Lepisosteus oculatus: one gene and its partners. The protein of the gene in region 1 purifies or fractionates together with the protein of each later gene. This does not show direct contact. Links are inferred from orthologs where the notes say so. Each region holds a gene or a part of one and is shown in the gene's direction. Other genes may lie near its edges.

Region 1 (7,932 bases):
GCGAGCGGAACATGAGGACTGCCAGGTTGGCAGGGCGCCCCAAGGGAAATGGCCATCAGGCTGTGCCAGCTGCGGGAAAAAGGGAGGGATGACCTATCCCAGGGCGTTTCTCGAAAAGAGTAGGGGTGTAACCCCGGCGTCCTGGCCAAATTTCCCATTGGCCCTTACCAATCATGGCCTCCTAATAATCCCCATCTATGAATTGGCTACATTACTCTGCTCTCCTCCCCACTGATAGCTGGTGTGTGGTGAGCGTTCTGGCGCACTATGGCTGCCGTCGCATCATCCAGGTGGGGCTGCACACTGGTGGTGGTGGAGGGGAGTCCTCATTACCTGTAAAGCGCTTTGAGTGGAGTGTCCAGAAAACCGCTATATAAGTGTAAGCAATTATTATTATTATTATTATTACCTTTCAGTGCCCATCTCCAGGCTTCACTATAGAGGGACAAATCGTGTTACAGCTGTTTGCTGAAGCAGGGCACTGGTACCAACACGAGAAACCACCAGAGTGCTTCTGTCAGATCAACCCCACCCACACAAGAGCCTTCAGATCCATACGGCACTGTGCAGTTCGCCCATGGAGTGTTTTCCAAAGAGCAGCATTGTTTTACTGTAAATTGTCAGAGGCACCCGGCCTTATCGGCACAAAAACAGCAGAAAAGACTGCGTCTGGGAGTGCTGCTGACAACGCTGCGTGAGTTATGAGCGAGGCACTTCGAGAGCCGCCATCGAGTGTCACCCGTCAGTTTTAACACTGTTAGCGCCTCCCGGTGAAATGTCAGACGGAACAGGAGTGAACTGAGAAAGCGTTTTCTTTAATATTTTCTTACTGCTTTCAGTTACCTTCAAGACAGTCCCGCTGGGACAATGGTTTCACTTTTCCATCTGACATCCCTGTTTCTATGGGGGCGGGGGTGTAGGGGCACACAGCCAGACATGTGTGGTGATTTAATGTGATCTAGCCTGTATTCTGCAAGCCGAACCACTCTTCAGATCTTGCCCCAGCTGCGTGAGAGAGGAAAAGAGAGAGTAAGGAGGAGACAAATGGTGTTCTTTAGAGGACGTAGATTTTAGTCATGGGGGGGGGTAACTGTGGAAGGGCCCTCTTCCAAGATTGAACCACGAAATGCTCCCATCTTAAGAAGCTTGGCTAATGGGAAGGACAAGAGTTTCCAGCTTCAAATTAATTTGTGTCTCCTCGCCTGCCTTCCTTCCTGGTGACAGCATGTGAGCAGATATCAGCCCGCAAAGGCAGGGGAGATAAGGAGCGGGGGTGTTGGGGTGGGGAGGGACTTCAGACAGAGCCTCCTCCTCCTCCGTGATGAATCTCGGAGCAGGAAAATCTTGGTTGTAGAGAAAGTGATTAATTGCACCGTTTTCAAGCTGTTTCCTAGGAAGTACAACAGTAAAATGAGCCCTGTCATCCATCACAGAAATCCTGTTCTGTGTAAGTCTTTATTTGCTCCTGACATTTGTAGAGGCCCTATGTGATGTTCTATAGCACCCTATCCCAGGCATAGGAGAGTCACTGCATTTTCTTATAAAAAGAATCGGCAGCGTTCGCTTTCCTACATAGAAGACTTAATATTCCATCCACCCATTTTCTAACCACTTCTTCCCATCAAGGTACAGGGTTGGGGGATGGAGCCTATCCTAGCATACAAGAAGCACAAGCAGAACACACCCTGGAGGGGACACACTCACAAAGCCCAAACGCATGCAGACTCCTCACAGATAGCACCCCAGGTCCAGAATTCAGCTCAGAGCCCCAGAGAAGCAGCAACATTAACCACAGTGCCACTGTGCCACCCAATCAAAGTATTAAACCCCTTGAATATTATGTATTTCCTCTTAACTGGGATATTGGATTCAGTGTCCTTCTGCTACCCTGTGCAACACAGAGTCAAGGACCCCTTAAGTGAAATATATAAAATGTTCTTGCTTTGTTTTGTGCAACTGGGCCAGCAACTGCTGCAAATATCCTTCACTGTGGATTCACTGGGGACCATGTGTCTGTCTTTTCACAGCAAACCTTGACATCTGACATGGCAGGTCTCAGGCTCTGAAATCCACAGGGCCTGTTTGTGTATCCTTCAGAATTGTTTTCTCACAGGAATGATAGGATTGTGTCAGCAGAGCTGCAGGGACTTTTTCAAAAGCTGCTGTGTTCCAACAACATAAACCCAATTGGCCCTCATGTTTAAAAAAAGGATTTAGTCATCCATATCATCTGCAACATGTGCTGTTATAGGAGATTGTAATGAAGGATGGGACAACATTTCATCTCTCTATCTCTGAAGGGCTCCGACTTACTGCAGACTTCTAAAGACACCTATCATTTTAACAAAAACAGGGACCTTTTCTGGAAAAAAAAAACTTCAGTAATATAATACAGGACTTTAGCTTGTGCACCACAAACGCGAGCAAACACAATTCCATTAGCCTGTGGCCCAGCTACAAGTATTATTCAATTAGCTCGATGTGATTAGTGTATTAAATCGGAGATGAACTTTTCAGAAAGCTAGACAGGAGCACAGAGCAGCCAAGGAAGCACGCCAGAGATCAAGGAATCAATAAGCCGAAAGGGGAAGTTTGTTTGTGAGTGGGGGGGGGTTCTGATTGACATTGGCTGAGACAGACAGACTGACAGGCTGAATGCAAAGGAGATCGACATTCTGACATTCTGAGTGAAAAAGGCAGATGCCACGTCCTCGCAGCTGGGTAATTAACACTGTGCCTTAAAAAAAATCATACAAACGTAGTTTTAGATTTTCTTATGCAATTTAAAAACATTGCAGTATGCCCATTTGAGACCGTCACATAGAGGGGACATCCTGGTTGTGGGTGTATCCTAAACCCCCGATTCCAGAATGCATTTCCCATCTGGAGGAACGCGCAAATGCCGTTCGGCTGTGTGTGATGCAAATCGGACAGGGAGGAACAATGTCATCTTTTCCGTGAGCGGGGCTACTCATCTGCTCCCTGGCCCAGCTGGCAAGCTCACAGAGCAGACCGGTACTCTCCCGCAGATCGATCTGCGAACTTCGCTTCTCCGTTCCCCCACCTGTCACGATTGAGTTCTCCTAGCAGTGGGACCTTTGACCGGCGAGGCAGGAGAGGTGGGCCGGGTTGCTGAACAGATAGTGGTTAGCAGAGAGCATCTCCTCTCCTGACGGCTCCGACATTGCCCCTCTCCCGTCTGCACTTAAATTGGCTCTGACAAACGCGATGAGGTATGAGGTCACCCTTGTTAGGACTGACAGAAAGCACTTCTTCAGGATGAAGAGGAAAAGGGAGGCGTGGAGGACATGTCAGCTGTGATGCATTGTTTCAGGATAATTATCCTCCTAGGATGAGAGAATGTTCTTTTTTTCCCCGACATCTGCCGGTGAAGACGGCTCTCAACGTGTTAGAAGGATGCCCAATTCTGCTCTGCATGAGGCTAATGGGAGGCAAGCAACCAAGTGAAACTTCGCAGCCCCTGCAAATGGGCTGTCGGAGGAAGAGAAGCTCAGCACTCGTCGTCTGCTTGGCTCTGTAAAGCCGTTCTGTTACGTAGGACTGTGAAATCAAACAGTAAAGCTGTTCATCCGTGCACAGAAATACCATGGTTGCTGATCCAACTCTTCAAATACGTTTCGCTTTGTACAGATAGGAATATCAAGTCCACAATCTACTTTTTAACCAATCAGTCCCTAATGGTAATGTGAATATTAAATGTGATTTAATATATTATTAAAGTAACCTATAATGTACTGTACATTATATAGAGTGTAAATATTATTAAAGTAATATAGTTTAGGTTTTATTATAGTAAGCAGCCATGGATAGCTGTTTATACCATCAGTGTGGTATAGCTATATGTTGACTTGTGAAGTGGGCGTTTATATGCTGCTTACAAGGAACACATAATTCCCTTAAGACATGCTTTTTCTAAAACAAAACATGCATAACACAAAAGGTGTTCTTCCTAAGGTGTGTGTATAGTCTTGTCAGTTTCATAATTCATTCTGTTTCATAGCTGTATTTACCAATGAGAATCTGGTTACAGTGCAGAAGATTAGTTTGTGCCAAGTGACCTCATTCAGACTGAAGTTAATCCAGTGAATGTCACTTGATTGATGCACACAAGACCAAAATGCTAGCAAATAATAGTTATATCAAGATATTCACCATGGGAGGCTGGTGTTTAAATAATCGTGTCAGATCATAAATATTTGTATCAGTCCATCTATCTTCATTTACTGCTTTACATAAGAATATAAGGATTACAGACCTATTCTTCCACTGAGGAAAATGAAGAGCAGCGACATCTGCTGGTTACTATCTCGAGCACTTTTTATAGCCAGTAAAACTGAACCGGCGACGCAGAAATGTTTGAGAAGTTTGGGAAGTTAAGCGCATTGATTAGATTGAAGACGCAATTGTGATGGTTTACAGTAATATTCCAATGTGAAAATCGCAAGATGTATATTTTGATGTTTGTCTATATGGAAAACTATATTCGGCACGGGAATCTACGAGCCAGAAAGTTGCTTGCAAAAGCAAAATAATAAAACAATTAAAAACTACACTGAATTTACACGAGTTCTGATTTTGATTCTCGTACGATACATAAACATTGCGCACGTTCCATATTAGTCATTTCATTGAAACCATAATTATTCATATTAAAGACAAATTAGGAAATAAACGTTGCTTTCACGTCCTTCAGCAATATGGCTTCGATCAAGTTCAGCGTGTGCTCAGAGCCGTGTGAATAATTGCTGCTTCTTCAGTTTCTATGACAACCAGTGAGCAAAATCTCGTACAGCCCCTCTCGCGATATCCTCTTCACCACGGGCTCAGCGGGGAGAAGATGGCGGCTCGCGGTGGCTTCCAAGCGGCGGCAGCAGGAGGCGGCGGTGGAGGGCTGGGTCCAGGGCAGCCGGGACCGGGTGCTGGGCCGGGAATGGGACCGGGGACTCCCTCGGGCCGGATGGGTCCTTCCTCGGCAGCACAGAACCACCTTTACCGCTCCCCAATGCCAGGGCCCGGATACCCGGTAAGGAGGGGGAGGCGGTAACGTCAGGGGAACAAAGGGAGCCGGGAAAGACGGAGAAGCGAGGGAGGGGGTTGTGTGTGGATTAGGACCAGCGAACGTCTTTATATTTTATCAGGTGCTCAAACTGAACTACCCGGGTATACCGGTTAGAGAGAGGCGGTAGAATAGAAGTCGGCAAGGAGAAAACTTCGGATGAATATCTGTTTTTCTTAGTTCTGTGCTTGTGTGCTGTGTTGCTAAACCGCCGTTGAGAGAAACGGCTCATTTACCACCTTATGTGCCGTAGGAGGTGAGGGTGGGGATAAGGTTTGCTGATTTCCCGGTACAGCGTGCCCAGGTGATACACATGCATTGTCCAGCTGTACTGTAGGGATGTCCTCTGCATTGCAATATCCAGGAAAGTGACGCTGAAGATGCTGAACGCACTCCGTTTCTATCTTTCCAGGCTTCTTTCTGATAAAGCACAATTATGAGCTGTACAGCTGTGTGGCCGAAGTTGCGGGTGTATATATTTTTGCAGCTGTAGTTCATTCTCTCTCACCCTTTCCCTCTTGTTTCCCTTGTTGATGAGGGATGCGGTTCACAGTATTCCCCGGTCAGAGCAAGGCTTAGGCCCGGCATAATTAAGACGGGGTGGGTGGGGGGAAATGTGTGACTAATTATCGTGGAGGTGGTCGTATTTCTCACAGATGGTGGGGAAGCAGAACTGAAAAGGCTTTTCGGGGTCTTCTTGCTGGAGAAAACGAAGATACTGAACTTTCTAAGTTTGCAACTGGCGATCAGAATAAGCAATAGCCACGACGACTGATTTGCTGCAAATTAAATTTAGCGCCTCAGCCTCCCCTACAGTTGAAATAAGGTATCGAAGTAGGGCTGATGTGTGTTGAATTAATGTAGTTCTCGCTATTCATGAAGGGCTGAAGTTTTTAAAGTTAGGTGTGAATATTTGAAGGAATCCCACGTTTGCTAAATTATGATGTTAAAATACGAACAGCGTGTACTTTTAACCTCGGTAGCAATATAATATTTGAATCCCTTTATGATGATTTCCGTGGCACAGCAGCATCAGATGGTATGAGACCCATGTCAGAATTTACGAGCTGCAGTTTTCTTTCCAAAAGGCAAAGCCATATTTGGGTTTGTTCAAGCTGGGACAATTATTCTGAATGAGTTTGCCTTCACAGACGTGTGAAGATAAAAATCTTAAATACATGTAGGGTCTGACCAGCAGTCTGCTGCTTGAAATATCGTGCCAATACCCTGTGCTGTGCACACTGCCTTTGGTTTTCCTGAAGTTTTGTTTTTTGTCTTTGCATGTGCATTGCAAAAAGGCCACGTTGGCAAACCCCACACCTCCCTTAGAGGAGGCAGTCTTCTTCTAAAAGAGGGTTTGTCAATACTGACCATCTACGTTAGACCTGTTGAGTGACAGAAGAACAGAATTAAAGGGTGTCCTTTGGATCTTAGGTTAGCTCATCAGAAGGGTGACTGGGATCTTCATTCTGGATGACTAGGTGAAGATTGAATGTCACGTGTTGCCAGTGTGGGTGGGCCAGGTGTGGAGTAATGTGTTCGTGTTTGGTACCAGTTAGAATTCTCTCTGTGCTGATGTCATTGATGGGTTTGTTAGGGGGGGGCTCAGTAATGGCAGGAGGAGCAACACAGAAAATCACTGGAGTTCATAACAAAAGTTTAGGAGATGGGACGGTACCGGAACTGAATCAATTTAAGCTGCCTGTAATCACTCTTTATGTAATTTCCTCACCTAAAACATTATAAATGCTATACGTGATCCCCTTCTCTCCCTCACATGTCTCCTGCATCCCTCTGCATCTGCCCTTAGGTCACTCCTCACTCCACGGAGGGGTCTCGGCCTCCTTGTCCTGTGGTCAGGAGGGTAGCCCTCAGACAAGCCGGGCCAAGCCAGATTTACTGTGACTAAAACACTCAATAAACCTTTCAATATACTTAATTCTTGGGTGTTGTTGCTCCTAGTGAATTCTGCCAACTGTAATTGGTTGGACTCTGCGGCACTGAGCTCTCTGAGCTTGTGGCAGAAGGTGACTTTGCTCACCTGGGATCTCAGACGCTGCAGAATTCGCTGCCCGGAGAACATCCGGTTTTCTGGTGTCGTAGAGTTTGCCACCGTGCAAGCTCATCGCTTATGAGCTTCTGTCCCAGAATCGTGGTGGGGGAAGAGCAGGGCTGGACCTCTCACGCTGGTCAATAAACCCAGGGCTGTAAGGCTGTGTTCTGGGCTTTTTGGTAAAGAGACCTAGATGACAGCAGTCCTCTCTGGAAGCAGAAACTGCCCTTAGCAAAGCAATTCCTAACTTAGATCTTTATGGTGCACAAAAGGGGAACGAGAGATTGCTGCCAGTGAAGTGTTGGGTCTACGCAAAAACCTGTGGGGCTGCAGGATACACTCCATTTTTCTCTTGGTTCCACCTGCCATTATCTTCAGATCCGACATTTTGGCACATGCCCGCACCTCAAGGTGGTCTGGTCATTCTGATATACCTGGGAGAGAGCTGGAGTGCTTGGAAGAACAAAGATGTGCTTCTTTGATGGGACTAGTGCAGTTTAAGCAGAACTTTTTGTCGACGTGGGAATTATTCACCACAGAAGCGAATTCAGTTAAATCCCTTCGGCTCACTGCGTTGTTTCTTTGGTTCACGGTCAAATACTGTTAGCAATCATGTTGTTGCGTTTCAGGTCTTATAGCATCTTCTGCCTTTTGTAAGCGCGTAAATGGCGCCACTGAAAGGATGTTCTGTTCTCTCCTGTGGCCTTCAGCGGCAGCACAATATGTCTGCGTGAAAGCCGCTCCAAAGCCAGCACGCTTTACAGACACACCGATTGTTCAGGGAAGCCCAAGGTTAGTTCTG
Region 2 (8,077 bases), on another chromosome or scaffold:
TCTGCCCCGGATCCATACGGCAGACTTGTCCCTCTCTGTCCCTCTCTGTCCCTCAGCTTTCTCACAGTGGCCCAGAGGACCGGGTGTCCTAATGGGATTCAGAGCGATTGATGAATCATTGTCCTTGATTGTCTGTTCTTAGTTACAGCCTCTTTGTTGGTCTATGAGCATGAAACCAAACCTGAATAAGATAAATATTTTTATTTTTTAGTTAATATTTTGGCTTGGTTGTGTAAATAATTACAATGTGAGTGGGTGACATTGACAGGGGAAACTTTTTCATTAGTGTTCTGTTTTAAAGAAAAGAAAATACTGTAATACAAATTGAGAGTCCAAACTGGGTGAAATATCCAGGAGTAAAACTCATCATGGCTGTGATTTCTGCTTTATCCACTCGGCTGACGAGAGTGAGGGCAGGGACTGTGAAGTTGCTGAGCTGGTTTTGTTTGCCTCAACAGTTTGTTTACACTTTATTTTCACTTCTCTTAAACACTTTTGACCCTTAAGGTCTGGAAAGAGAGATGCAATTAAAAAGTAGAAATCATGGAAGAGCAGAACTCAGAGTGGGTGTTGTATTGAGTATTTTTCTTACTTTACAAAATGCTATTTAATGGTTATGGTGTGTGGAGCATCTGTATTAGAGCTTTTACTGAGAACCCAGTGACATCAGTCACACATAAAACAGTGGTGCTGTTGGCAACCCCTTGTTAAAATAACCTCTGTGAGCGGTCTGCTTCTCCAGAACACAGCCCTGACATTGTGAGAGAATTTAACACTGACGTTTGACATGAACCAGGCACGTGCTGTCTGCAGGACTGCCCCCATGAGGGCCTGACATCCCTTCTGTCCCATCGTGTGTTTTCCTGCTCCAGGCAAGTTCATCATGACAGCCTCCAGTGACACCACCATCCTGATCTGGGACCTGAAGGGGGAGGTCCTGGCCACTATCAACACCAACCAGATGACCAACTCTTATGCCACCATCTCTCCCTGTGGCAGGTCAGTACCCCGCTGCCCCACCCCCAGCACCCCAACACACCCACCCCGAGTAACCCCAGCTGTGCCTCTTTCTGTAAACAGCTCCGTCAGTCTCGCGTGACCATTGAAGTTCTGAGTCCAGAACTAAAGGTTTCAAAGTGGTAAGGACACTCGTTGGTTTGTCTGAGGAAGGCTGTAATGAGGAGAAGACTCTGGGTGGCAGATGGGCTGAGACAGGTCTCCGTGGCCGTCTCAGAGCTCCTGCTGACACCTGGTAGAACCGGGCCCGTGCGGTTCAGCCCACACGGTACCGCCCCGGTGCTGCTGTGCTGCGGGGACCTCGTGTTGGCCCAGCGAGTGTGAACCTGTGCTCTCGCTCACGGTTGTGCGGCAGGTTCGTGGCGTCCTGCGGCTTCACCCCGGACGTGAAGGTGTGGGAGGTGTGCTTCGGAAAGATGGGCGACTTCAGGGAAGTGGTCCGAGCCTTCGACCTGAAGGGCCACTCGGCTGGAGTCTATTCCTTCGCCTTCTCCAACGACTCGCGCAGGTAGGGAGTCGGAGAGCAGCTGAGAGCACTTCTGTCAGGGACTGAAATGTTTTCCTGCATGACTGGCCTGACTCTAAAGGTCTTGAGCTGGAGCCCCCAGGTGGTGCAGGCTGGGCTCCCTGATTCTCTCGTGGGGAGTCTGAGCTGCGTCACCCCATCAGCGGGTTGTGACTGGGGGATCCCCCAGTGGGGCACACAGCTGGCAGAGCTGCCCGGGGGCAAGATGAGAACACCGATTCCTGCTGCTCCTGTATTACTGAGCGAGTAGGAACTTAAAAAGACAGTAAAAAGCTCTCGATCTTAAGTGGATGGTATGTTGTACAATTTGTTGTAATTTGATGTTTAAATATTCTTCAGTGATGTATAAGAGGTGGGTATTGTGTGAGGTTCAGGTATCCTGTCCTGCCCCTCAGAGGGCCTTTGGGAGAAGCGCAGTATATCTCCTAGCTTATTAATACTCCTTAGTCATGGTGAGCCACGGCCTTACGGCTTTTCTTTTTTTCTAAAGGTCCTTTATATCCCCAAACATATTACTTATTACCCCATGTGAGAATGTTGAATTCACCACCACCAATAACCTGATAAGACTATTTACAAATAATGGCGGCCTCTAGTGGAGGCCAGCTGCTATGACAGCCCCTTGCAAGACTTGGCTGCCAAGGAGAGGACGTCACTTGTCATCTCCTGATTGGGCGTCTGCCTAAAGAGCACTTCCCTCGGGCACCGGGTCTGCTCTGGGTTTAACCAGGCACAGCAGGGACTGTTAGTGCCTTGCGGTGGTTCGTCTGGACTCGACTGGAGCTTCTGTTGTTGGCCCCACCTGCAGGATGGCCACGGTGTCCAAAGACGGGACGTGGAAGCTGTGGGACACGGACGTGGAGTACAAGAAGCAGCAGGACCCCTACCTTCTGCGGACCGGCCAGTGCCAGGTGGCCGAGCCCTGCCGGATCGCCCTGTCCCCCGACGCCCGCGTGGCCGCCATCTCCAGCGGCTGCAACGTGGCGCTGTACAGCGCGGCCGCGGGCGAGCTGGAGGAGGAGCTGCAGGGCGTGCACAGCGAGGAGATCGCAGACATGCGCTTCGACATCAACAGCCGCTTCCTGCTCACCTGCGGCGACCGGGCCATCCGCGTCTTCCACAACGCGCCGGGCCACCAGGCCGCCGTGCGCGAGATGCAGGCCATGCTGAAGAACGCCTCCAACGAGGCCATGCGCCAGAGACTGCAGCTGCAGATCCAGGAGGCCCAGGCCGCGCTGGACAGTGTGTGCACCCCCAAGGACTGAGGGGTCCGAGGGGTCCGGCCCCAGCCTGGCTGTCCCCCCTCCCCCCCCCTCAAGAAAGGAACTGCAGTGTCTTTGCCTTGCGTTTGGGCTTGGGGTTGTGTGCATCCTGGTTTTAAAAAAAAAGGTTTGTAATAAAATGTGCATGGAGCTCAGTGCTGCTGCTCCAACAGACCTGCTGGCTGGTAATGGTCACTGCTCCTCCTCATGAGCCCTGCAGGACGCAGGTGGTGGGGTCTGACCCCTGTGTCCCGACCCACAGCCTCCGCTCCGGCGCCTTGAGCTTGTAGCGGGCGGCCTGACGGCAGGCGTGTTCGATGATGCCTGTAGGTTTTTTTGCACCGCAGTTCAACTCGCAGGGAGCCACCAGTCAGAAGAAGAATTTCAAGTCTGTTGTAAAAAGCAGTGATGTCTGCTGCTAGATTTAACATTGTTTATAAGTGACTGCTTCTCCACATCAACATGGAAATTATTTAAAAATCAAAGGCACGTCTGGGGTCAGTAGTTGTTTGCTGAACCAGTCAGTTTCTGGGCCCAAGGGAGCATTGTGCGCCCCCTAGTGCCAGAGTATATTGATTGAAATCATGGATTTGGGCTCTTTGGTGTCAAGCGATTAGCGATCATAGGTCTAGGTCTAGATTAGGTCTAGAATGATATGAAGACTGATTTTACACATTAAAGAGCTATTGCCCTTTGTAAAGTTGGCTCATGACAATGAGTCTGTTTACAAGTGCTTGTAAAGGCACCATATTGATCTTACTTCTTTGACATTTCTGAGGCTGTAGCAACGGCCACAGTGGTTTCGGGAGGGAAAAGCTGTTCAGATACAGACAGGGATACGAGCTCATATCTCACAACGTGAAATGAACACGGAAAAGATGTGATCAGTGTCTCACTAAACAGAAATAAAGATAAAAAATAAATAACACATGGAAAAGGCATGCAGTGATTAAAAGCCTGACTGAACAGGTAACTATTTAGATTTCAAAACTGTAAAATAGTTCGCAGCTCTCCTGTTGATGGGGAGTGAGGCCCAGAGCTGTGGAGCAGGGCGGCTGAGACACTTGTACCTGGAAGAAGGGCCTGAAGATGCTTCTCGGAGTAAAGGCCTGCGTGTGCCAAGGGAGTAGGGAGAGGTGCGCTGTGCTGGGGGGATGGGGGGTGTTGGGGTGCTGGTAATGGGGAGCCAGTGAGGACGTGTCAGAATTGGGGCGGTGTGATCACGTAGGCTCCAACAGGCTAGAGAGCGAGCGGCCGAGCTTGTTTAGGAGCTGGTGGGGAGACTCTGGAAAGACTGTTGACATTCATCTGTCCAGCTGAGCTGTGAAGAAGTCTCTGATCAGGGTTTCTGCAGCTGCGTGATCAAGGAAGACCGAGTGCAGACACTGTTTCTGAGCAGAAAGTACAAGACTTCACAGGTGCCTTTAAATGAGCATCCAAAACATTTCATTAGAATTTCATAAAATACCATGTATCTTCCCTGGAATTTATGCACACACATCTCCTCAGTTTTAGTCAAATTTAAATGGGGGGAACTGGGCCCTCTTCGTGTGGGGGGAGAGGCGATGAGGCCAGGCCAGCTGGGTCTCCAGAGCACGCGAGCCAATCCTTCACCCTTTTCTGCCTGCATTATTTTCACAGCAGGGTCACAGGGGAGTCAAGAGTCTGTCCCAGCAAGCAACGGGCCCAAGGCAGGGTCCACCCTGGACAGGACACACACACACCAGGGGCAGTATTCCCAGAAGCCAATTAACCTACCTGTTTGTATTTAGATATTGGAGGGAAACTGGAGCACCCAGAGGAAACCCACACAAACCCAGGGAGAACGTGCAAACACAACACAGACAGCACCCCAGGGCCCCAGCAGTGCGAGGCAGCAATTCTAACAACTGTGCCACCATACTCCTGTCCTTCCACATGCACTATGATGACAACAACAATAACACTAACACTGATAGTAAGGAACGAGTGAAGGTTTATTCCGTGCTCAGAAGAGAGAAACACAGCGCTGCTCCTCGCGCGCACGCGTCAGGCGGACCACGTGGGGAGCCGGGCGGGTGCGGAGTGGCGCGCGCGCGCGCGTGCGGGGGGGCGGGGAGGGGGGGAGAGAAGTCTCGCGAGGTTAAAAAACCGGACGGCGAGACCCATTCGGTCGGATTGGCGACAAGAGGAAAAATATAAAAACCTGAGCCCCGAAATAAGATGTCAGGCCGCTCGGTTCGGGCCGAGACCCGGAGCCGCGCCAAGGATGACATTAAGAAGGTGATGGCGGCCATAGAGAGGGTCCGGCGATGGTGAGTGTGAGGGAAGAGCGCAGGAAGAAAAGATCGAGCAAACAATCCTGTAAGAGAAACTTCGGGGACGAGGAGCAGGCGGGGCGGCGGCGGTGACTGGCGGGAGAGTGACGGGGCTGCTGGCCTATCGCTGGCCGGGAGAGCCGGTCTCCTTGGAGACGGGGGCGGGGCGGTGGCGGAGGTGGGATGAGTAGCCGAGAGCTGATTGGCAGGCGCGGACGGGTGGGCGGGCGCCGCTGCGGTGACTGACAGCGGCGTGTGCCGAAATTACCGAAGGGTATCGGCAATTCAGCCGAAACGAGGAAATAATGTATTTTCCCCTATCCTAGCTCGAACAGGTCTGCGACAGGCCGCGCCGCCGGGAGCCGTGCCTTCAGTCGAGTGCACAGGGAGAAGGAGGGGGAATGTGTGCGGAGTTGGCTGTTAGTTAATACCCCAGGGAACCAGAAGTTTGAGGGTGAATTCTTTCAGACGTTAAAGCTGGGGATGGAACAGGGGTTTGCCTGAAAATAATGCCGAGTTTGCGAAAGGGGCAAGAACGGCGCCAACTGCAGGGCGCAGGAAACTGGTGCTGTTCTGTTACAGACCGAGTAACGAAATAAATGAACTGAAAGTTCGTCAGATATTTCCTCCTCCCCCACACGCAGTGATTGATTCCTTGAAAGATATGAGTGTGGTCAGTCTGGGCGGTGTGGTGTATATCCCACAATGCGGTGCTCCGGAGGCATGAGCAGGGGTACCGTGTGACACGGACACGGGTGGATTCGTGCAGCCTGAGGAGCGACTTCCGCTTCCCCCGTGCGTGGAGCTGGCACGGGGCGCGAGGCTTGAGCTCCCTTCCTCGGGCTGCGTGTCCGGTCCTGCGGGGGGTTCACTGTGCGCTGCAGGCCAGCAGTCAGGACCCCGATGTCCACAGAGACTGCAAACAAAGCCGCAGCTCACGGTAGCACCGCAGGAGAGCGTGGACACCGTGACACCCCACTGCAGTTTCTGGGCTCCCCCCTCTAGAGGTCTCGGCGGGGCCATGCCCAGGGGTTATTAAAGGTGATCGGACAGAAGTCCGGCTCTCCAGTCTCTCGTGTGAACTTGCTGCTCCTGCGGCTATGACGCCAGGGTTTTTTTTAAAAAGATGAAGCTGGCCGTCTAGGAAAACTGCGGAGACCTGCTGTATTTGTGTTTTAAGTAGAATCAAAAACGAACCTTGAGAAGTATCCCTTGGAAGAGCTGAGGTGCTGGTGTGGGTTTGAGGAGTCTTGAGTGCTGCCTGCTCCTCCTGTCACAGTGTCTTTCCCCCTGATGCGGGGAGCGCTGGCTCTGTTGCAGAGGAGGGATTCGAGTTCCTCTTCCAGCCTCCTTACTGAAAGGAGAGGTGGTGTCTCCACGGGTGAGAAAACCGCCCGGCAGCGATATGGTGCTCCTTTGGGGGCTGTCCAGTTCGCGGCTGGTAACAGCTCTGTCGCCCCTACAGGGAGAAGAAGTGGGTGACTGTAGGCGACACCTCTCTGAGGATATTTAAGTGGGTGCCTGTCGTGGATACCAAGGAGGTAGGGCTCTTCCTGCTACAGTGTTTATCTCTTTCTATTTTTATGCTTTAAAAATGTCTTCAGGTGAAATTTGCACAGAATAATGTCCATGGAAGGTTATGAATGGAGTTTGCTGCTGACGCCAGCCTGTCCCTGTTTGTGATAAACTAGACAACTCGAGTACAAGATGCCACAGGGCTGCTGCTGTGGAACAGGAGGAATGTGGAAGAGAGTAAAATAGAGGTGTTTTAGGAGCTCTGTTACTTAGAACATTAAGGTCAAGAGCAAAGGGTGTCCTTGTTTGATTGCTAGCAGATAGTCAATCTGAAGATCTTGTCCAGTCTCGTCTCACTGTGAAGACTGTGCTTCTACAAAGGCTGGGGCAGCTTGTTCCCTACACCCACAACCCTTTTTTGTAAAGAAAAGCCTCCTGCATGTTGCCTCCTGCTGCCAGTTTTATATGCCCTTCCACATAGTCTCTGCTTGTGCCTTCTGTTTTAATTTCACTGTTCGTTTTGAGCAGTAGCTTTAAAATGAAAAAAAATAAAAGCTAAAACATTTCACAATACCGTCTTCTCTCTGGAAATGTCTGTCTCCCTCGTGGTCTTGTTGTATTGGATTGTACTGTTAGCACATTGCCCCCAGCCCACCCTAGTGCTCAGGCCTTATCTAGAGATCCTGCTCCACTTCAAGCACGGCCACTGCTCTCTGTGAGCGTCTGCGGCAGGTCGCTGTACTTCAATGCAAAATAATCTTCTTCCTCTCTTGTAGAAAGAAAAGTGCAAAACCAATGGCAGCGCAGGGAGGGAGCTGAAGGGCTACCCTGTGGACACCGGGGATACGGCTTCAGAGAACAACCGCTCTGTCCTGCTGGACTTCCAGGGTGCGACACTGCCCTTCGCACATGCGCAGCGACTGCCTGTACAGCTCCTCAGCTGCACAGATCTAGGAGCTCAGAGGTTCCTCTGTGTTTACTGGCCCAGGGGCCTCTCGTCTGTAGGACTGTACCTCTCCTTGTTCATCCCAAAGACATGTGGTGTCGAAGTTCACTGCGCTAGATCGGGATCTCTAATTCCTGATCCATAGTTCACGCCCTCACCAGTTATCAAACGTGTGCTGTTCAAGTGCCCTGCAGTCATTTTCAAAATGCTGACTTCCAAATTCTTGTTTGCCTCATCTGTGGGTGTACCTAAAATCACAAGATCTAAAAAAGCCTGCACTTCCGCAGAAATAGATTGTTGCTTTTAAGATCGTAATTATGTTCTGTGTTTTGTTTGGATAATTATGTAGTTGGAGTCCACATGCCACAGCCTGAGCTTTGTTTTCTCGAGTGCACATTTTATGAGCTGCGGGTCTTGTTGAGCTGATAGAGTACACCATAGTCGAGAGGTTAACCCTCTGCCACGCCCAATATAGTAGAAATCTGGGTGACGAAGACCCCCTGTACCCTGTCTT
Region 3 (7,710 bases), on another chromosome or scaffold:
AACAGTCCTGTTACAGTAGGAGCTACAGTCCCAGTACAGTAGAACAGTCCTGTTACAGTAGGAGCTACAGTCCCAGTACAGTAGAACAGTCCTGTTACAATAGGGGCTACAGTCCCAGTACAGTAGAACAGTCCTGTTACAGTAGGAGCTACAGTCCCAGTACAGTAGAACAGTCCTGTTACAATAGGGGCTACAGTCCCAGTACAGTAGAACAGTCCTGTTACAGTAGGAGCTACAGTCCCAGTACAGTAGAACAGTCCTGTTACAATAGGAGCTACAGTCCCAGTACAGTAGAACAGAACAGTCCTGTTATTAATCACTTCATTGGTTGGGCCTTGTTTATGAAGCCGCAGTGGAATAATCGGTACACGGCGCAGCTCCGCCAGGTCTGCTGCACTCTGTGATGGACTGAAGCGCTCACTGAATAAAAATAAATGAGTGAATATTACTCGCCGATACTCACAACGCCGCGTAGTTACTGGGGTCAATCGCAATCGCGTTTTCCTGCCCGTTTCCTTCGCTCCCCAGATCAGATTATTTCAGTGCCGGTCGCTACCGCGGGCCCAGAGACCGGGTGGCCGTTTTGAAGTTTTTAAAGAAAATGGCGACCGAATTATTCAAGAAAGTCGAGCGATCAAGCGGCTCGAGCGATCGCGCTTTAGGCGGGAGGGACCGGGGATCGACTTCAAGTACACAGCGCGAGCGTCCCCTTCCCGCCCGCCGACCGACCGACCGCTCGAGCGCTCCTCCTCCGGGGTGCTGCCTCGCGGCCAGACCACGCGCCCGGACCCGAGCGGTGACGCAGTGGCGCCAACCTCGAGGACGGCGAGAGGGCGCGCCGCCATCTTCGCCCCCGCGCGGCTGTTTGGAACTGAGAGTCGCGAGATCCGGAATCCCGCTCTCGGGTCGGGTAAGAACCACGTGGCCTTCCGCGACACGAGTGGCAGTATCTCCCACTCCGGAGGTGGGGGGGGGGGCGTGTGCTCATGGGCTCCACTCGCCTCTCACAGCGCTCAAGGTTCGTTTACCCAGACTTCCGGGAAAAGGGAACTCGCTCGGACGCAGATTTTAAAAACCCTGCTATGAGCGCTGTTCCGTCAACTGGCGCGCCTCCCACTTGCGTGGAAACAAAACTGAGAAGACCCTCTCTGAATGCCCAGGCAGGGCCTGTACGTGACGTGTGACGTGTCACCTCTGCGATAGAAGCCTGGCGAAAAGCAGCGAGTAAACCTGTTTGTGTTGTTGCTTTATACACGACTGTCTTTTTTCTCGGAGTACAATACGGTCAGATACACCCGTGGTGAGCAGGTGACTCCCTCCCGCCGCCCGGCCCCGGGTGCGAACCCAGCCTGCAGCCGTCCCTCCCCCGGTCACTGACGGAGGTCGCCTCCGGACCTCACTGAGCTGCTTCAGCGCCTTGACAGTCTCCCACCTCTGGGTGGGGAGAGAAACACACACTGGTTCGGTTTGGGGAGCTGCAGCAACGAGGTTTTGGGGTCCCCAGGACCGGGCCTGGCACCAATGACCCCTCGGGCTCATTGCTCGCTGGCGTGACCCCTGCCTGACTCCGGTGTTATCATCATGGCCAGCAGCTCCATCACCCTGCAGCTCAGCTGGCAGCCCCCTGGAGCTCAGCAGTGTGAGCATGGTCAGTACCTGGAGGGGAGACTCCTGGGAAAGCTGAGGCTGCTGCTTTAGGGAGGGGAGTCCCCATTACCTGTAAAGCGCTTTGAGTGGAGTGTCCAGAAAAGCACTATATAAGTGTAAGCAATTGTTATTATTATTATTATTAAGAGGTGTTAGTGGGACCAGTAGGGGACGCTCACCCTGCGGTCTGTGTGGATCCTAATGCCCCAGTATAGTAATGGGGACACTATACTGTAAAAAGGTGTCGTCCTTCAGATGAGGCGTAAAACCGAGGTCATGATTCTCTGTGGTCATTAAAAATCCCAGGGTATTTCTCGAAAAGAGTATGGATGTAACCCCGGGGTCCTGGCCAAATTTCCCCCTGGACTTTACCGGTCATGGCCTCCTAATAATCCCCATCTCTGAACTGGCTTCATCACTCTGCTCTCCTCCCACTGAGAGCTGGTGTGTGGGGAGAGTACTGGTGCACTATGGCTGCTGTCGCATCATCCAGGTGGGGGCTGCACACTGGTGGCAATGGTGGCATTCTCCATTACTGTAAAGCGCTCTGAGTGGAGTGTCCAGAACAGCGCCATACAGGTGTGAGGATACTGTTATTATTTTTGTCACGATAGTCACCTGCTGTCTGCACAGCAACACTCCCCATACCTCCGTGGCCTGGAGAGCAACAGAGGACTCTACTCTCCTGCTCCTGGGGTGGCCAGTGTACCTGCAGGATTCCAGTCCAGCTGTGCTCTTAAGCGCCCCAGTCATTTCCTTACTGGCTTAATCAGACCAGTTTGTTAATTTCTCCCTACTCTTCGGATGCTGCTGGTCTAGGGCGCACCGGACCCCTGTCCGTGAACCTAGGCTGCGCCTGTGTCAATACATCACGTCACCGAGACTCCGAAACAGACGCGGAAGCGATCTGTCGCCTTCTTGTGGGAACCTTTTGCAAAAACATCTTGGTGTGTGTGCGTGTTGGAAGAGGGGGCGGCTCGTTCAGAGAACAAAACAGAACAGCTGACTGGAAACACCACTGCACTCATTTTTTACGGTCGTCGCCTTGTGCAGTTTGTACACGGCCTTATGAGTATTTTTTTTTGCTGTTTTTTTTTTCTGCCATCGCCTATTGGGATCCGACACAACTTTTGGAGAAAGAGACGAGACCAGGGTTATGTCCTGGCGAAAACATGTCTCCCGGTCGCCATCGCTGTTCGGCGTCACATCACAATCAGCGAAATAAAAATCGATAATAAAGCGAATCGGAACCGTAGCTCCCCCGGTTATCGCGCTCCTGTCACTAACGCTCTCTGTCTCTCTCTGAAGTAGGACTGATTTTTTTTTCTCTGTATTTCTGTCCCAAAGTAAACCCGTCTGTAGCCCCACCTTAAAGCGTAAACACAAGCCTTAACTCTGATTCAAATCCAGCCAATCAGGAACTATAAACAACAGCCGGGGCCACGCCTTCTTATTAATGATTTCCCCTCTCTGCCAATCATTCCACGATCCGCCAATCAGCGAGCGGCTAGGCTCCATCCTGCGCCGACCCTTTCTTTGTGATGTTTTTAAGTTTGAGCCAATCAGCAGCGGCGTTTTCTCATTCCTTACAACCCGTTTGGTCATAGGAAGCGCCAGGGCCTCGGCTGGGGCTGTCCCTGTTTACGCCTGACTGAATCGTTTTATTATTTACTTCAGATCCTTCAAAGAAGTCAGTGCTACCCTTCCTCTTTCTTCTGGATGTCATGTTTATTTTATATGTAGTTCTGCAGCATTTCTTACATAAACTCATCTGTCAGAATTGAAGATTTGATGATTTACTAAAATCTTGATTTTTGGTAACCCAGAATTTAATAACTCAGTGTGTGTCTTTTCATATTTGAGATTTTGTGTGAGCATGTGTGTGATGGCACATCGGTGCCTGAGAAACAGAAAAGACAATCACCAGCTATCTGTAATTCCATCTCTCCAAGATAGACCTAAAACTCCCCCTAAACTCTACAGATGGAATAAAGGGAGCTCTAGGCCCTTGGAAAATTAGATTCTGTGTGACCAGGACTTACAAGAAGAAAGTACAATTTTAAAGAACGTGTCTTTCCTGTTATTCTTTTTTATTTAATGAGCCCTCTTTAAAATGTTATACTTGCCCTGCTAGTTAAGACCTCTCTCCCCGATTTGCACTGCCCGTTCGGTAGCTGTTTCCTGAAGGAAGTCGGGGTATCAGCTTGTTCCACACTCCCGCCCCCCTTTGGGTAAGGCTTGGGCATCACTAGCTGAATGACAGGGTTAGTGGATAAGGACTCGGGACTCCTAACTACAGGGAGAGGGAGGGGGACACTGTCTATGATTAAGACCTAGAACCAGGAGGTGAACTAGAACCGTGTAGTGAAGGGACTGTCCTGCTGGAAGCAGGCTGTGTTCCTTCAGCGTTTTTTATTGGTCTGAGTGTAAACGGCTGGTGCAGAAGTAGACCAGGGTAGAGTCCCCAGCTCCTCACCCTCACTCAGCTCCTAATGATGCTCATCGTGGGCTCCTCCGGACATGTTCACAATAGACAGTGCTGCACACCGAATCAGGCATTGTTCAGTGTTACTGTGCAGCTACAGATGATCAGTCTTTACAGTATCTACAGGTCTGAGGATGATGAGTGTCAATGTGAGGTTACAGATGACCAGACTGAGAGTCTTTACAGTATCTTCAGGTCTGAGGATGATGAGTGTTAATGTGAAATTAGTTATAAAGGGAACAGACATTTGGAAGCTTTTTTTCCTTGACTAGGCTAACCTTTGTGGTTATGCAATACACACTGCCAGAATGAAGTAATTCACATCTCCCATGAAACAAATAATGTCTGATGTGAATCACCTGTTTCACGATTCAGTCAAAATAAGATCGAAAGCAATCAGTCAAAAGGAAATCAAAACAGTTACTACTGAAATGACCTGTGTGCTGTAATCTGCTCGCCACAGACTGGCAGGAGTGCGTCTGATTTTTGGTCAGGCGATCGCGCCGGGCCGCCCTGCCCTGCTCCGTTTGTTGCTCTGCCGGGTCCTGTATGGGAGCCCGTGCGGGGCTGTGCCGGAGACCCCGCGCTGCCTGCACCTCTATCGTCTCGGGTGAGTTTGTTACAATGTAGCAATTTCTCTATAAATCTGTATAACTCGAATAAAGCCGCAACATCTGCACACTGCAGGTGGATCGCAAACCCCGCTTTTACTGCCCGCAAAATGCCAAAAAAAACACGCACGGCTGGGCCGGAGGAGCGATTTTACAGCGAAATTCCCAAACATACCCCCCCCTCCCGGTCCAAGTGTATTCCAACATTAACTCAATATTTAGACGCAATTGCGTTTGAGGAATCACTAGATAGAAAGAAAATAACCAAATCATGTCTGCCTGGCACATAATATGTTTCAGGGATTCATCTGAGCAGTGCGTAGCTGCTTGCAATATGTTACTGTCAGATATCTTGTGTGTAAGGCTCGCTTTTCTACACATTTAGACTTCCAGCTCCAGACCTCAGCTCTGCCTGTCTCTCTGTACCTGCACGCAATAGATTCGCATTCGCTCGGCTGCAACGGCACGAGAAAAGGGGGTTGTGTTGAGAAGGAGGGGGAGGTGGGTGGGTGGAAAGAAGACTTTTTTTTTGTGTGTGTGCGAGGTGAACAGCCGCCAGTATCCGTCCGTCCACGGAGGCGAGAAAGAGCCGCCGCTTCGCCTTCGTCTTCCTCCCCGTCTCCCCCGCGCGAAAACAAACCCAAACAAACTTACTCGGGGCCGGCCAGGCGGCGGGAGGAGGAAGTTGGGCTCTCTGGGACGGGCCGTGCGCGTCCGCGGGTCTGTGCCGGAGCCCGGCCGCTGTGCCCCGGGCTCCCTGCGCCCTCCTCCCTCGGGGGGGGTGGTGGTGGTGGGGGCCAGCGAGCTGGCGAAAGCCAGGGCCCCGTCCGCTTCCTCTCTGTCCGAGCGGGGTTGTCCTGGGCTGGTGTGCTGGTGTCCAGCGGCTGTCATGGGGCTGAGCGCTGAGTGTTTTCAGTGAGGGAGGGAGGGCAGTGTGGCTGAGGGCTTCTCTGCTGTCTCCGTCCTCGCCGCTCGGACGTGAAGTTGGTCCTCCCTGCCCGCGGAGTGGATTTAATGGGTTAATGGCTTAATTGGTTTAACTCCATTGGAGCTGTGATTGTGATGAGCTGCCAGTTCGACTGACCTGAGCTCTGCTGTTCTCGGGAAGTTTTGCTAGGTGGCATGTCGACCTGGGAGCCCAGATTCTGGGCTTTGGGGGTGGACTCTAGGACTGTATGGACCGGGGGGGCCGGAGTCTGGGCCGTACAGACTGGGGGGCCGCACTCTGGGGTGTATGGACAGGGACTTTGTATGGTGTCCTCTCCTGGTGTGGGAAGTCTGCAGGATGTCCAGCATATTTCTAGGTGTCCCCCAAGGGCGGTACATACTGTGGGACCACCTGTGTCCTGCGCGTTCGGATCAGGGCCTGGGAGAGCTGGATGGTGGCTCTCCAGGGCTGTGTGTGAAACACTCACGCTTCATGGAGACCAATTACTAACGACTAGTTACTGGGCTAACTGCTGGGGTTGCAGACAGATGCACCACAAGCACTTATTATATCTGCCAGTCGTAAACGAGAGGTGGCCACTGGGTCCAACCAGTTTGTTCGGATCTCATCCAGCTGTTTCTTGAGAGCAGCCAGGGCATCGGCATCATGGCTGGGCAGCTCGCTCCATGCTCCCACCACTCTTTGAGTAAGGAGGGATCTCTTGTTTTCGCTCATAAATGCACTTCTCTGTCATTTCCTGATTGGTCTGCTCGCTTTGCTGTTGGTCCTGAGGTCCCCTTCTTGCTAGGGTATCAGCAACTTTTCAGGATAGTTCCCATCATCCTCCTTCTCTGTGACGGTTAACGGGATGGAGCTCCTTTATTCTCTTTGTGACTTTCCTGTGAGGCTGGGAATTAACGTTGTTTCCCTCCTCTGGACGGAGGTCCGGAGCAAACGTTGCTCTCTCTAACATGGCGACCAAAACCTCAGTCCTGCCCAACACGCTTGAGAAAGTGACCCTACTTCCCTGGACCTGACTCCTGTGCCTCGTGTGCTCAAGTTGCCGGCCTTGTTGAAGAGCTGCAGGAGGACACCAGAGTTGTCACAGACAACACGTCTTCGAGCTCCCCCCCCCCCTGCTGGTATGTCTGACGTACCTTCTTACAAGCTGCAGGTGTGCTAAATAGTGCTCATTTGTCTGAGCTCTCTTCTAAAGTAGCGAAACGCTTGCTCATCCCAGAGCCAGCAGCTGCGCAGAGCTCACATCAATGAGCTCGTTGGGAGGCGGGGGGCTGGCCTCTGCGGGGGCTCTGTGGGGGGTCCTGCCCCTCCGGCGGAGGCGGAGGAGTGGGGCATCGCTCTCCCACTAGGGCAGTTTCGCCAGCAGCGCGTGAAGACCTCGGCAGGTGGGCAGGTGTTTGGGAGGCGAGGGGGTGCCAGTATGGATGCCCATTGTTCTGGCGTGCTTGCTTGGGTTGGGTTGGTTTCTCAGATGCCGTTGCGCGAGGGTGGGTGTTCAGGTCTGTTGAGGAGGGAAGGGATTATCTTCCCTAGGAGGCACAGATGTGTCTTCCAGATGTGGGATCCGCTGTGTTGCTGCTTGATCACATCCTGGACTTCCTGCTGGCAGGGAGCAACAGTGGGAAGCCCGGTTATGGGAAGAGCCCCATTCCCCGTCTCCGTCTCCCTCCAGGTGAATCAGTTTTGTAAGCTCCGTCCGGAAAGGTCCAGGATAGATCCAGCTGGGAAGCTCTTCTCTAGTGTTCAGGTGGTCATCCGGCTGCGGGCCTCGCCGATCCCTCTCCCAAGGATGGATCTCCATTCGGAATAATTGTTTTTCGAGCTCTTCCGGCAGGGATTGTGGTGGGCAGTGTCTCGGGGCGAGTGAGAAGCGGAGCAGCCTTTCACAAGCACCTTCGTACTGGGAGCGCAGGTGTGGCTGCAGCTGGATTCTGTGTCCCTGAGAAAGTCTTAATAATAGTAATAATTAATAATTGCTTACACTTATATAGCGCTTTTCTGGACACTCCGCTCAAAGC
Region 4 (7,375 bases), on another chromosome or scaffold:
AATGTTGTCTACGTTTTTACTTCTAACTGCATTGCAAAATGACCCTGACTTCTGCCTGTTGCTGCTCTCAAAGCATTCTAACACAAGCTGACTCTGAATGCCTGCTAGTGTTCCTCAATTCCCTGTAGAGGCCATGCTGTCTATCGATCTCGTGTTTAGGCTTTGTGAGTGATTTTCCTTCTCTCGCATTGTGGTAGTGCTCTCGAGGCAGCAGCGTCTCTTGGAGGACAGGACCTCATTCCCTTTTACAGTGTTCTTGAAGGTGGGAGAGATGGGGAGCTTTTTAGGGTGAGGAGATTTATTAAACCCCACTTTCTAATATATTTAACAAATGAACTGCATGCCATATGGAATCTAACAAAAATAGTAGTTAAACTGTAACAAATTAACACTGAAGGTGCTAAAACCAAAATGGCTTCTTCTGAAATACAGCAGACGTTATCATCCATGTCTGAATGTATGAAAGGAGTCGATAATACACAAGCAAATCATTAGTTGTACCTTGTCTGTTTTGCTGTATTATCAATGCATGAAGAACTTCCTGTGCAGGCACATAGAACTTCAATGTGTACTACAGTGGTGCTGAATGCAGTATAGGCAGTATAATAAAATTCACAGTAATGCTTTGAAAAGTGTCATCTTTTTACACACAACAGGCTCAGTTAGACACCTTCTAGCAAATATCTGTTCTCATTTTCTTATGCGATCAAATCACTCATCTAATTCTTGTGCTATGAAGTGCATGAGTTGGCTTTTATTTTACCTAGACAGAAAGATGAAGCTGTTGTTTTAATTTTATAGACGCGCTTCATTTAAGTTCATTGTTAGACACAACATGGGAGCTACAGTACTGTTTTTTGTTTTGTCCATCTAGGAACTGGAAGACTATTTTTACTATTGCCAGCTGCGCAATCAAGGAATTGACACCATGGAGACCCGACAGGTGTCTACAAGAATCCCCCTGGCAGAGATCCCTTTTGTCATGCGGGCATTGGGATTCTACCCCTCTGAGCAGGAGGCAGGTTCAGATAAGTCCACTCACTGAAGGCTGAAATAATAACAAAGATCATCTTTGCAAATCATGAGCTACAGATGGTTCTGTGCTCTGAGTATCTTGAACATCGGAAACAATTCTCAGAGAAGGGTTTCAGTCTGGAGATTTGCAGAGATGCTGGCAGTCAGATCTGTATTAAAGGTTTCTTTCTTCCTGTTTTTCATTCTGTTTCTCTGTCTGCTTTCTGAGCTTTTTACATTCACTGAAGAAATGTAATGTAGCTTTAATTTGAATGATTCAGTCATTTATAGTTTCACCTGTCTAAAGAAATGCTTATTAGTTTTATACTTGCCTGACTTGATGCCATTTTGTGTTGCACTAAATCTCTCATTTTGCACCACGTCTGAGCTGAACAAAACACTCTTTATGCTCTTAACCTATTCTATCTATAGGCCATATGTGCTTAGTATCCCTTATTATATTTAATATTATTAATAATAAATTAGTCTTGATTACTATAAACTGATCACTATTGTCATAATAAAGGTTGCAAACAGGAGAAAGGCTTTTGGTCCATCTAACTTGTTTGATTGCTAATAACGTATCAATCCCAGATTCATGCCCAGCCTTTTCTTGAAAGGAGCCAGGATATCAGCTTGGCATAGACGTTTCTTCTAGACTCCTGTACACTTTTGTGTAAAGAAACACTGTCTGCTGTCTGTTCGAAATATACCTCTCTTCCCTTATTTTCACAGCTTGAAGATATGCTGAATGAGGTCAAATTCAGCCAGTATGTAGATACAGGAAAGTATGTGACCGACATTGATTTGGCAGATTTTATAAAACTGTATGTAAACCATCGCCCAGCATTTGGGATATCTATGAATGAACTGAGGCACGCTTTTCAAGTTCTGGGTTATGAAAATGAGAATGGGGAGAGAACACTGAACAGGGGAGAGCTACTGCAGCTGCTGCAGGCCAGAGGTATGTTAGACTGCTTCCAGTCCAAAGTAACAAAGCATCTTTTAAAGTTGCTGCTTTCATCTGACAGATCAATTGGAAAAATGTCACACATGCTCTGGGTATGATTATAGACAGCTTGTCCATTTGTTACCTTCAGTGTCTGAGGGGACATATTATTCCAATATTGACAGAGTGACATCAGGATTTGTTAGAATACAACAGATTGGACCTTAATTCTCAGACATTAGCAGACTGTTCCCACATGTTCTGTGCTGTATTTTCATCATTAGAGCAAACAACAGAAACAAAATCTGGGGAGCTGCAGGCGGGCCTGCACTTTATACAGGAGCTCACATGAAGAGCAGCACTTTTCCCTATTTCTTGTAATATACACACATGATATTAATGAATTAAAAATCCTTTAAATTAAAAAAGGCAGGCATTTTGTGGCTTTTTGTCATTTTTAATTTTGGATCTTTCATACTTTTTTCATACCCAGCCACTTGGTATCATCAGTCCTTAATCAGCTCAGCTGCACTTTCACAACCCTTGAGCTGTGACATTTATAGTATATAAAACTTAAAATATTAAAACATGCATTTGTTTTTAACTCTTATTTCTCTCAGTCTCCTGTATTATGCTTGATTTATGATGTCATAATAAGGATTAGGACGTCATTCGGATGGCTGAAGGTCCTTGAAATAATCAGAATGAGACGTTTACATGGGGATGTGAAACACGTTATGGAATGTTTTTTTTTTTCCTAGGTGAGCACATGACTGAAGAGGAGCTAGCCGAGTACTTCTCCACCTTGATGGGGCTAAATCCTGAAGGGGGGAGGTTGGAACTGGGAAGCTTTGATTCTACAGGTATGTACAGTACTAAATTACTTGGTCTTCTGCAGTGACTTGTCCCAGAGTGACAAGACTATAATGCAGTGCAAAAGATGTAGATCACAAAATGTTACTGAGTATGGCTTACCAGACTCTCTTAAGTAGTTAATGGTAATAATGGATGAAATAATAATGGTGAAAATCATATGACATTCTTCAGGCCAGATTTCCTCCCCTGGCCTTTACCAGTCATGGCCTCCTAATAATCTATGAAATGGCTTAATCACTCTGTTCTGCTCCTCCATGATAGCTGATGTGTGGTGAGTATATTGGTATTCTTTGGCTGCTGTTGCATCATCCAGGTGGGGCTGCACACTGGTGATGGTGGAGGGGATCCCCATTACCTGTAAAGCACTTTGAGTGGAGTGTCCAGAAAAGCCCTATATAAGTGTAGGGAATTATTAAGGATTTACTCTATTGATTATATGTATTCCTGTAACATTGAACAGTGATGGGCATATTGTTGAGTTCATGTGAAGAAACCACTTTTAACTTTTTTTATTTTATTGGGTTGAATTGACAGGTTCGGAGTCTCTGCTGGAAAGTGTGATTCCTGAAGAAATCACGATAGACACCTTGACATCTGACATACTGGGTTTTCCAGTTTTTGTCCAGGAAACTGCATCTTCTGAAGAGGGTCAGACAGACCGAGAGTCTGTGTTGTCCTAGGCTGTGATGCTTCCCACCACTCGTCGATGGAGCTGCCAACCTGTGTGTTATGAAGTTGCTTTCACCTTCAACACTTTGTCAGTAAAATTAGGATTTTTTTTTGCTCTCTTTAGTATTTGAACATTTTTACAGTTACAAAAGAAGAAGCTGGAGTGGCTTACCGCAGATTCTAAATCTTAACTTTTGTTTTAAATAAAATATTTTACCTAGATATTTATTGATGTGTTATTATTATTTATATTGATTTATATAATATGTATAGTTTAAAGGTTGAAATGACTGCACTAATTTTGAAACGATAAATGTCCGCAAAATAACTTTTAAAAAATATATATCTGACTATGTATTGGATTTTATTCTTCTGGGCAATTTCTTTGTATTAAGAATACTTTGGTTTGCTATGAAAATGCGTTTAAATATCACATAATGAAAAAACAATATGATGAAACACAATGAAAGCTGTTCCATGCCTCTCATCCAAACATAGAAACAAATAATTTCTAAAATATATAATATACGTCTTAAAAGACACTGAAACGTCTTGGACGAGTGCATTGTGCGGGAAAAAAAAGAAAACCCGTAAAACAATTTAACCGAAACAAAACCCGTTCGAGTCTTTTTTTTTTTAGACTGTTTTTCTTTCCCATCTGGAATGTTGCGTTGAAACAGGAAGTACGTCTGCAACTTTCAGCATCGTGTGTGTCAACTCGAGAAGTTTTCGCGAAACTTTCTTTGTGAACAATGTAACTTTGAAGCCTTTGTTGCTTCTGTCTACATTGTTGTAGCTCGGAGTTGTGTGACAAAGCTCCAGCCTGGCTTTGCCATGCAGCTGTAGGCTCTGTGCTCTCTTGGCGCAGGCGCGCTCCCTCCTCACAAAGCTCTACATTGAGTGTATGCATTGTGTCTGAACTGCCGGCGAGCTTTAAAAAATATTATACCAACAGCAGCAATGTCGGGCAGGTCGGTCCGCGCAGAGACCAGGAGCAGAGCGAAAGATGACATCAAGCGTGTTATGGCCGCTATTGAGAAAGTACGAAAATGGTAAGAGGAGAAAAAAAAAGCCACGGTTCATTATCTAAGAGCAGAAAGCCCAGCTTGTTGGGGGGGGGAGGAGGAGGAGAGAAGAGAGGGAGAAGAAAGAATGAAATGAACGAGAAGGGTCATCTTGAACTGAAATCGCTCGGATCGTGCTGTTGGCACAGGTGTGCTCAAGCGCTCCTGCGCTTCGTGCCAGCCGCCGGACCGATCGCAAAAGCGAAGGTTTGAGCAATTTTTAAATGGATTTTTCCATTAAGAATTAATGTGGGTTGAACCCAGAAGCCATTTCGTTGCAGTCACATGAAGCCTTTGCTGTCTTCTGCCTGCTGTAATGCCGGGTGAAGGGATCTTTGTGTGGCGCGGAGTGTTCCGGGACACTGGCGCGCACAAATCATAACAATAATCTCCAGTTTGTAACTATACTATGACGACGGCGCTCTAGAGTCAGAATAGTTTTTATTCGGTCTCGGGGTTTAAATTTAGCGCTTAGAGTCGCTCTTTAGAGCAAACAGATGTAGCGTGCAGTGGGGGCTGGGAGTAGGAAGTAGTGCATGGCTGATCACGCAAATATGTTAGACTTTTTAAAAATAAAAAAGCACATTGAAGCGAACGAACAACACATTACTTTTACAGTTGTGAAATATCGGTCTGTGTTTTGAAATCCGAAGATAAGGTACACTTTCATGCAATATTGTTTTAAGAAGGATTTACGTAACAAAACAGTCGTCGTTTTTCTACTAGGGCATCGTAGGTCGATTTAAGAAAATATATAAAAAACATCCTTGGAGGGCTAAAAATCTGTTGTAATGGAAATAAAAACGGAATCCCGGGAACTGTTTTTTACGGTTTAATGTATTTTAAGGATAAACTCACGATTTGGATATATTTCCCTCGACATTGCAGAAGATTGCTCGTTCTAAAGTCAACTTTTTCCCACATTTTTGGAATGATATTTCTGTAAAAATTTCTAACTCTTACAATACGATGACCGCCTCTTTGAATTTATGTGGGGTTATTTCAAATTGCGTATCGGGACGTAGGAAGTATAACGGTAAAGATGAGAATCCTATATAATTTGTAAATATATGTTAAGGGAAAAGGGACTCTCGCATCAACACAGCACCAAGGTTAATCCCGTCTAACTGCTGGTTAGATTAAAGGTTCCAAGTCTATGGAAATTGGGACCTAATTAGAGGCAAGCTAGTGACCAAGTAATTAAAATGGGGAAAACAGTACATGCACGGACACGCAGAAACGGGTTTAGCAGGGGAAATTAAGATCCAGTTTGATCGGATAAACTCTATATTTTTAGAGAAGGGGACGTTTCTCTTTACGCTAACTAGGCATTTACAGTGCTCCAAATTTTCTCTGCAAACTGCTGTGCTTCTCACCCTGCATTTTCGCGTGACAACGACCATGAGAGTAACAATAGGAGGCTTGCTTATCTCATCGATGCAACAATTACACATTAAAGCCGAAGATGCTTTTCACATCCAAGTGGACCAAATCCGGTCCGTCTCGAAGGTCAGAGGCGCACAAAGAGCGCTCTCGGGGATGACGCTCGTCTTTGGCCGTCTCCAATCCGCGAGTCTCTGGACTTTGTTGCCTGTCTGTCCCATGGGTTAAATTTTGTCATGGGTACCACGCAGCGCTATCTCGCACAGCTATAGCCAGGAACTCTTTTGTGTGAGATTCCGCAGTGCCAGAGCTGGATTTCTGCCCAGTGGTTCACAATCGAGCAGAATTAAGCATCTTCTGTGTCTAGACTGTTTGTTTGGCATGGCAGGCGCTGTCTCAGCTCTCCACGGGTTTAGAGGGGGTGGTGTCTGGTGGGTCAGGATGTCTTTGAGTCTCCTTTTGCACGAAGAGCCCTTAATGATGGTTGAACCCCCTGGTATTTTCATCTTTAATCATAAATCCGGCGACTGTAGGCCAAAACCACATTATGTGTTAGCATTTTTTATTGTTAAACGCAAGCACAGAAAATATGCTTTAAAGAATAGGTTACTTTATTTTCCCAGAGCAATTGAAGTGGATATCAGTGTAGGTTTAGAATAGCTTTATAACATTATGAGGTTTCTGTTCACATGAATGCAAAATTAAAATGGTTAACTTTTAAAAGTAGGTTTCCAGTAGTGGAGCAAACATTCAGAATTTGTCCTCTAAACAATAATTTAGCAGTCAACACATGATTTTCAGTTAGAAAACACTATTATATATTACTTGCATGCGAATCTTGGTACAGTTTTGTAGAACCGGGCTATGTGTTGTGTAATCAAGCTGAATAAGTAAAACCAGACATTTTGAATGTTAAAAGTAGTATTTGGGGTAAAGGTCATACCCGTTAAACAGAAAATGTGAAAGAAAATCTTGTTCCGGCAAGCTTTTGTATAATTGTACAATATTAGGTGAGGTTCTCACCCAAGAGCCTACAAAGGTTTGTAGACAAGAAGAGGCCAAGCTCAGCTGTCTGCTAGTAGCTACCTGATTCATGCATCTTGTCCAGCTTTTCCTTGAAAGATGCCAGTAAATCAGCATCAACAACCCATCTGGGCACACTGTTCCTGACACCCGCCCCTCTTTTTGCAAAGTATTGCTTTCTGTTCTTGGTCCTAAGGGCCCTGCCTTGTAAGAACATAAAGGGAAAAGAAGCCCAGTGTGCTTAAAAATGTCTCCACTTTTCGAGACAATCCATCCATCCACTTTCTTGTTGCTCGATCCAATTCAGGGTCACTGGGGAGCTGGAGCCTGTCCCAGCAAGCAGTAGGCGCAAGGCAGGGTACCACCTGGAGGGGACGACGGTCCATACAGGGCACAC

What was found.
Region 2: the proteins of smarcd1 (region 1) and bcl7ba purify together in Homo sapiens (affinity purification with mass spectrometry; 4 studies listed by BioGRID and IntAct, counting the BioPlex papers as one, with this or other methods). This does not show direct contact. The link is inferred for Lepisosteus oculatus from reciprocal best matches to the Homo sapiens genes SMARCD1 and BCL7B.
Region 3: the proteins of smarcd1 (region 1) and bicra purify together in Homo sapiens (affinity purification with mass spectrometry; 5 studies listed by BioGRID and IntAct, counting the BioPlex papers as one, with this or other methods). This does not show direct contact. The link is inferred for Lepisosteus oculatus from reciprocal best matches to the Homo sapiens genes SMARCD1 and BICRA.
Region 4: the proteins of smarcd1 (region 1) and bcl7a purify together in Homo sapiens (affinity purification with mass spectrometry; 5 studies listed by BioGRID and IntAct, counting the BioPlex papers as one, with this or other methods). This does not show direct contact. The link is inferred for Lepisosteus oculatus from reciprocal best matches to the Homo sapiens genes SMARCD1 and BCL7A.

Annotation. Positions count from the first base shown.
Region 1 is NC_090696.1:17,243,907-17,251,838, forward strand, and holds the start of smarcd1 (SWI/SNF-related matrix-associated actin-dependent regulator of chromatin subfamily D member 1), read left to right. Parts: upstream 1-4,824; 5' UTR 4,825-4,858; coding exon 4,859-5,044; intron 5,045-7,932. UniProt on the Homo sapiens protein: Involved in transcriptional activation and repression of select genes by chromatin remodeling (alteration of DNA-nucleosome topology).
Region 2 is NC_090721.1:463,256-471,332, reverse strand, and holds the start of bcl7ba (B-cell CLL/lymphoma 7 protein family member B-A), read left to right. Parts: upstream 1-4,915; 5' UTR 4,916-5,007; coding exon 5,008-5,099; intron 5,100-6,567; coding exon 6,568-6,643; intron 6,644-7,393; coding exon 7,394-7,505; intron 7,506-8,077. Other genes in the region: tbl2 (transducin beta-like protein 2), read left to right, coding at 873-999, 1,373-1,525, 2,352-2,808. UniProt on the Homo sapiens protein: Positive regulator of apoptosis. Plays a role in the Wnt signaling pathway, negatively regulating the expression of Wnt signaling components CTNNB1 and HMGA1.
Region 3 is NC_090698.1:6,318,740-6,326,449, forward strand, and holds the start of bicra (BRD4-interacting chromatin-remodeling complex-associated protein), read left to right. Parts: upstream 1-4,661; 5' UTR 4,662-4,681; coding exon 4,682-4,742; intron 4,743-5,397; coding exon of another isoform or gene 5,398-5,634; exon of another isoform or gene 5,635-5,728; intron 5,729-7,710. Other genes in the region: znf541 (zinc finger protein 541), read right to left, coding at 5,398-5,634. UniProt on the Homo sapiens protein: Component of SWI/SNF chromatin remodeling subcomplex GBAF that carries out key enzymatic activities, changing chromatin structure by altering DNA-histone contacts within a nucleosome in an ATP-dependent manner.
Region 4 is NC_090717.1:7,063,793-7,071,167, forward strand, and holds the start of bcl7a (B-cell CLL/lymphoma 7 protein family member A), read left to right. Parts: upstream 1-4,230; 5' UTR 4,231-4,468; coding exon 4,469-4,560; intron 4,561-7,375. Other genes in the region: cfap251 (cilia- and flagella-associated protein 251), read left to right, coding at 198-288, 875-1,018, 1,750-1,978, 2,725-2,826, 3,374-3,519.